2 linked regions of the Daphnia pulex genome follow. The protein of the gene in region 1 purifies or fractionates together with the protein of each later gene. This does not show direct contact. Links are inferred from orthologs where the notes say so. Each region holds a gene or a part of one and is shown in the gene's direction. Other genes may lie near its edges. The genes, in order: proteasome assembly chaperone 3-like and proteasome assembly chaperone 2-like.

Region 1 (2,565 bases):
TCCACCTAAATTAAACATCTAGATCAAATTGCAACGTTGTTTATTCGTTTTAGTCCGTCTGCAGTCGCTGTAACATATTTTTCCTTCAAATTTTTCCTCTTGAAAGTTGATTCGAAACAACAATACCGTTGAAGTTAATTCTCTGCTTTTGGTAAGTGCATTGCTGTTAATTTAACTGTATATTGAACCGGTCTATCGATAGTTATTAGTTTTATCATTTCGCCTTGCAGGTAACATTCAATTGTTATAGCCAAAGCAAGTTTTTACACGTGATCATCTTTCGTTAGTAGAGTAAATTTTAAAATGACTGAAAGAAAAGTCAGCCCAGTTCCCGTCTATAACAATATCCTAATGGAACAATTTTTTGATGAGATCCATCCCAAACGAAGTCCTGTCATACTCAGAGGATTAGACATTGGAAGTTGTCTAGGAAAGTGGACAGCTGAATATCTTTCGCAAAATGTTGGGAATAAGCCAGTGAAGATTCATGTATCTGAAACAGGGCAAATGAATTTCCTAACCAAAAACTTTCATTATAAAACACTGCCGTTTGATCAAGTAATCAAAAGGTCTTCTGAAAATGAGCACGAAAACTTTTTTCTAACAAACAGTGAAGTTTACTATTTAAGGGCACTTGGAACTGATTCAAGGGGAAGAGAGGTTGCCAATCTTGATTCTCATTATCCTGAACTTTGCCAAGATTTTCAAGTTCCCAAGTTTTTGGAACCAAGCACTATTTTTTCAAGTGTCCTCAGGGTGGCTTCTGAAGGAGTTCAGTTGTGGACACATTACGATGTGATGGACAATCTTCTTGTCCAAGTCACTGGCAAAAAACGAGCCGTTCTCTATTCGCCAGAAGACCTTCCGTATCTCTATTTGGAAGGCGACAAATCTCGGGTTATCGACATTGATTTTCCTGATCTGGAACACTTTCCGGAGTTCGCCAAAGTAACATCTCACGAATGTATCATGGAGCCCGGAGACGTTCTTTTCATCCCGGCTCTGTGGTTTCATAATATGACATCACTCGAGTTCTCCGTAGCAGTCAACGTTTTCTGGCGAAACTTGAGTCCAGAGGTGTACGATAAAAAAGACCCTTACGGCAACAAAGATCCGCTACCGGCCTCAAAAGTAAGGCACTGTCAAAGCTTCAGGGCCTCGGTTATTTTTCTATCTCAACTTTCAAACTGCAGGCGTTGGAGATGGTTGAATCTGCTCTGAAACACCTGTCCATGCTGCCTGAAGAGTATCAACGTTTTTACAAGAGGAGAATGGTTTCTAGAGTTTTAAAAAATTTTTGATTATTGTGATCAATAAATTGGATAAAATTTAAAAAAAAATGCATTTATCACATCATAATTAGTTGACGTCAATTACCATTTTATTGCTTTCCATTCTGTTATACGACCACTAATTTTTACGAACCATTTTTATATCTTTCAGGTTGGATATCGTTTGATATGGAAGGTGTAGCGGGAAGATTTCCCGTCCAGACTAAAACAGAAACTATCGAGATTAACGGGAATTCAACAGAAGTTGTCATTTCAAAGTTCAGGTTGGAATAATTCTTTAGTTCATTGCTTGCATTACTTACACTTTAATTCATTGTCCTTTTTAGCGACAAGTTATTTATCATACTTACTCAATACGGCAAGGTGGGAAACGTGGTTGAAGTCCGTCGGGACGTTGCTCAGAAAGACGATTCTTCCAGTGCAGTTTACAGCGTTCGGTAATTCTTGTATGTCGTCTCAATTTCGTTTCGTTTTTTTAACTTTCATTGCAATTTTGTAGAGTCTTATTCGGTCGAGACGACGAGGAAATTCACGTTGCTGCACGTTTCTTGGTGAACTTTATTCCAACACAGCAAAACATTTTATTTGCCTTGTCACTTAAAGACTATCAGCCGAAAACTCTTCGTCAAGTTGGCGAATTCCTAAAGATCAACCTTTCCCTCACCGAAAAATCTGCATAAATTTTCCAACATGTCTGTAAGAAAAACCATCTTCGGCCAAGCCGTTATCGGTATGTAGAAATTACGTTCGTAAATTTGCTACACATTTTTACCGTGTAATGTTATAAGGTCCTCCCGGTAGCGGCAAGTCCACTTATTGTCATGCAATGGCGGATTTCCTTCGATCCCAGAATCGTAAAGTAGCTCTAGTTAATTTAGGTATTTTAAAATGTTATTATACTTTTCCAATCAAAATCTCTAATATGATTGTGATTAGATCCTGGGAATGATTTATTACCGTTTACCTCTTCCATTGATGTATCAAAATTGATTACTGTCCAAGATGTAATGGAAAATTACAATTTGGGTCCGAACGGCGCCTTGGTCTATTGTATGGAATTCCTCGAAAAGAATTTGGACTGGCTCTTTGTGGAAATAGAGAAATTCAAAGATCATTACTTCATCTTCGATCTACCGGGACAGGTATATTGAATACAGGTGATACTGTTTTCTAGAAAAGTTGTAATAATCTTTTTTGTGTAGGTTGAGCTCTATACCCACAACAATTCTGTAAAAAACATTATGAAACAGTTAGAAGCATTTGGTTTTCGTTT
Region 2 (4,324 bases), on another chromosome or scaffold:
GATTTTCTTCTCAAACAAATTCACTTTTTTACACACGTAATTTTGTTTTGGTGATTTTTGTTTTTCTCTACCTCCCAGCCATCGTATTAGATATAGTGGGAAGAAAAGTGATGATTTTAACGGACAGTCTCTTCTTCAAACTGTCGGGAAAATTTTTCATCGGTTAAAAAAATTTTAAAAAGTGTTCCGTCATGCGGATCATTCCGCGCGGATGAGGAAATATATATCTATGATCTGTACACAACATCCAACGGTTATTTCCGTCGGTATTTTTTTTTTTCGCGACTCGGATTAGCCAAGTTCAACCACCCGAGATGGAGGAGGAGGGCATCACAGTAATGTTGTTGTTGTTGCGGACATCTTAAGAGCACAATGAGACGATAGGAATTGGACGCCAAAGAAGTAGGACGACACGGAAACTGGAGTTGGTTGAAGAGAAGATTTACCTGCTGCTGTGCTGCTGGGAGGTTTTAAAAACGTAACAACAGTCATTCACGTGTACACATAGGCAGTGGGTAGTATATCTAACTGTCAGTTGCGAGGGGAGCCAAATGGGATGGATCAGCAGAGCACGTCGGATAACCGACATATTTCATCTTTTTGATGTTGTTGCACACGCCACGGTATATATAGGAAAAATGCCGGCCGGATAGCGGTCGGCAGATGAGCTCAGTATCGTACCTCATCACATTGCGGTGGAAGATTCACCTCATTATACACAAGCGCCGTACCCTACATATGGTTAGCCATAATATTATTATTAGCAGGGCTGCTGAGATGCAGCGAAATCTTTTTTGATTGATCGCTGAGCGCGCTGGTTGCTCACGAGATTATTTCGTCTTTTTTAAAATCAGCCCGCGCTCCGTTTCTCATCGTCGGTTGAATTTCACGTGAACCGCAAAGTCGTTGCAGCGCGGAGAAATTTGTTTTGGGGAATTTTTGCAAGTTTAGGCGCATAAAAATCTTTCACAAAATCATTTGAACTATTTTGCTTTGTCATTGGTAAATGGGACTGAAAAATAAAAAGAGAAAAACGGAAAATTCTTATCTCATTGTGTCGGGGGGTAATATTTCATTTTGTTTTTGAAGGGAGAATGAGAGAGAGGAACCCTAACCTACATGTTCTGTTTTTACCCAACAATACAATTGTGGGAGGAGGAGGAGGAGGGCAGAGACCGTGATGACATGACAGGTGGATTTCATTTTTAGTTTATTTTTTTATTTTTTTTCCAAATTTATTTCTTTTTTTTTATGACCACCCACCCACTTATTCCAAGGAGGGAGGAAAGTCGCTAGGAGAGAGAATTATGTTTGTTTAATTGCTGTAATTTTAGAAATTCCTTCTTCAACCGACTAGAAACTCGCTGAACCCGATCATTCAGTTATTCAGTTATACCCCATTCACGCAAATGTCGTATCAACAAGGCAACTACGGGAGAGATTAATTGAGTTATAAGCCACCTAGCGGTGGAAATTGAAACTGGGGTGACGTCGGTAAAAATACAGCAGACGCTTTTTGCAAAGATTCCGCCAGTCATTTGTGGCTTTCAAGTTTACCAAGTTTAACACGTTTGCAATCCGTGGTCAAGAAAATGTTTGTCTTTCTGAAGAATAAATCACTGGAATGGTCTTCACTTCAAGATTACACCTTCATATTGGTAATTTCGTGCAAGGTGGATTGATTAAAGGCAGATCTCGAACTCGGCCGAAAAATTCGAACAGGGGAATTGCGTATTGGAAAGACGAGTGATTCATGTCAAAGCAGTTACGACATTGACTTAAATTTTTAGTGGGTAAATTGCATTCAGGGAACAACAATGTTATTTTCTTAATCGATAGACTTGAATAACTGGAAAGAATTATTATTTTTGAAGTAAAAATCGAGTTTGAAAAAAGGAGCCACCTGGCGGCCATTATTAGAATTGTGATAAGAGAACTGTCAAAAGTACAACTTAACTCAATTTCACTAAATGCGTAAAGTAAACTAAAATTTCCGCATACAAACTTGCTAGTCAAACGTAGTGAATGATTCGTGAAAAATTATTCCTTTCAAACCCGTCACCCAAATGACATGCTCCAAAAGTGCTAGTCTCTCAGCTGGGTATGTGGCGCGTACCTGTAATCCTGCTTCTGGGAGGCTTGGTGTAGTGGATGGCTTGAGGCTGGGAGTCCTGCTGGATCGTCGCTTGCGTTGAACAGGTGTCCGCACTAAGCTTGGCATCAACATGGATCGGTTGGAGTAATCCGGCAGATCCAGGTTATCTAAGGAGGAGCGAATCGGGCCAGGAGGGAAACCGAGCAGCCAAAAGTTCCCGTGTCGGGCAGTAGTGGGATCGCGCCCGTGAGTAGGCGCCTTTCAGTAGCCCAGCCAATAAAGTCACACCTACATCTTTTTTCGTCTTTTTTCTAATTGAATTTCATAGTTTGAGTATTTTTTGGATTTTATTGCATCATTAAATTGGTTTTCTGATTTTTCAGCCGGCCGTTTCAGTCGGCAACATCGGCCAGCTCTCGGTGGACTTGCTCATCAGCTCCCTGCACTGTGACAAGCTAGCCAAATTGGATCACCCCGTATTCGTACCCGTAGTTGGCAGTGATCCTTATGATGAAATACGGGAACAAGGCCTCATGACAGCAGCAGAATGTAATTTAATTGATATTAAATTTTTGACTGAATGGCATCTAATTTTCGCTAAAATTTCAGTATACATCAGCAAAGAAAAGAAACTGGTTATTCTACAGATTCGTGGTCTTTTGATTAAGGTAACTCATTGAAATTATTATTAATGTAAAGGTTTTAACCAGCTAATTCATTTATTACTCCCAAAAGGAATTTTGTGCCGATTTCTTGTCCCAGTTAGTGGACTGGATCAAGAAATGCGCTTTTGTCAAGACTATTCTGCTGTCCAGCCTCCACAACTACGAACGAGTTGATTCCCAACTCACCGGATCTCCATTCCGCTACACTGTGACTTCAGCTGTCAACTCGTCTATTGAAAACGAATTAAAGTAAATTGCGGAGAGATAAAATCAAGATCAATAATTGTATTCTAAAAGTATTGATTGAACTATAGGACTCTGCAGTGGCCTGCCCTGGAGACCCGACGTTCGGTTTGGAAGGAAGGCAATGAAGATATCCTTTTCTTCCCCGGTGGAGGATATACTAGTCTTCTGAATAAATTATGGTAGACGTGTTTATTCAATCCGTTTCGATTACGTTTTATAACTGAAGTTTTCCCTTTTATTCTGCAGTGGCGAAATGAATGTCCCTCTGGTAACTCTTCTTATATTTTGCGCCGAGGGTGACAATATACCGGGAGTTTTGCTGGTGACGGGTCATTTCAACCGGTGGCTAAACTTCGTACCAATGGCCAATGATGCCCCGGGCTGGAAATTCCCAGCGTCTTGGAAATTATTCTTTGGTGCACCAGCTCCCATGACCATGTATTGATTGATCAAAAAAAAATAATGATTGGCAAAGGAAAAGATAATAAAATCGAGTGATTGGTGAATTTCAATTAATTTAATCTTTTGGTTATTCGACGTGCTTGTTATGGAGCTGTTAGTCCAACCCCCAGGTCTCGTAACTGTCAGTTATACGTTAATAATAATAAAAAAAGGTACAGAGAAAGTGTTATGGAATTGCGATGCGGACGTTGGTTGGTGGGCGATTGCGTCATTGACTTATTGTGATGATCTTTTCCTTCAATTCTGCAGAAAGGAAAGAACGGCTGTTAAAGATAAGACATACGAGTTTCACGACTAGTTTGAGATTATAGCCTGTACCTTTAGAACGGACAAAAATCTTATAATTCAAACATGCATTTAGATTCCATTCATACTGCCGTGCAGAAATAAATATTATGTTATTGTGCCATTTACTTAAATATGAAAGGTCGCAAATGTATAGAACATAGGTTAAAAACCTGCGGAAGCCAATCGGACGAGGCGGAATCCGGCGGAACCGCGGAATCGATATCGGCCAAATAAGTCTCAGAATTTTTTTGCGCCAATAATTGATTTAAAGCTTGTCATGTGATAGAGTTCGAGTTTCATTTACTGATGGCAATCAACCAATCAGCGGTAAATTATATTTTAACAAATTTTTATTAAAAAATTAAATGTAATTTAAGCAAGATTTTGAAAATTTGCCACCGCTGTAAATGATATGGGGTTGGGGTGGGATTGTGGGAAGGGTAGAAATAGAATTTTCTTCTGCTCAGAAAATTTTTTTATGATCCATTCTCACTCTCACTGCCTTCTGCCTTGGTAAGTAGTTTATTTGGTCAAATTTAAATTTATGTTCAAAAATATTTCTGGTATT

The links.
Region 2: the proteins of proteasome assembly chaperone 3-like (region 1) and proteasome assembly chaperone 2-like purify together in Homo sapiens (affinity purification with mass spectrometry; 4 studies listed by BioGRID and IntAct, counting the BioPlex papers as one, with this or other methods). This does not show direct contact. The link is inferred for Daphnia pulex from reciprocal best matches to the Homo sapiens genes PSMG3 and PSMG2.

Annotation. Positions count from the first base shown.
Region 1 is NC_060019.1:10,650,033-10,652,597, forward strand, and holds proteasome assembly chaperone 3-like, read left to right. Parts: upstream 1-1,460; coding exon 1,461-1,555; intron 1,556-1,618; coding exon 1,619-1,729; intron 1,730-1,791; coding exon 1,792-1,972; downstream 1,973-2,565. Other genes in the region: GPN-loop GTPase 2-like, read left to right, coding at 1,983-2,022, 2,081-2,170, 2,229-2,434, 2,495-2,565. UniProt on the Homo sapiens protein: Chaperone protein which promotes assembly of the 20S proteasome. May cooperate with PSMG1-PSMG2 heterodimers to orchestrate the correct assembly of proteasomes.
Region 2 is NC_060026.1:15,321,175-15,325,498, forward strand, and holds proteasome assembly chaperone 2-like, read left to right. Parts: upstream 1-1,499; 5' UTR 1,500-1,592; coding exon 1,593-1,658; intron 1,659-2,478; coding exon 2,479-2,644; intron 2,645-2,704; coding exon 2,705-2,763; intron 2,764-2,830; coding exon 2,831-3,009; intron 3,010-3,074; coding exon 3,075-3,185; intron 3,186-3,252; coding exon 3,253-3,451; 3' UTR 3,452-3,512; downstream 3,513-4,324. UniProt on the Homo sapiens protein: Chaperone protein which promotes assembly of the 20S proteasome as part of a heterodimer with PSMG1.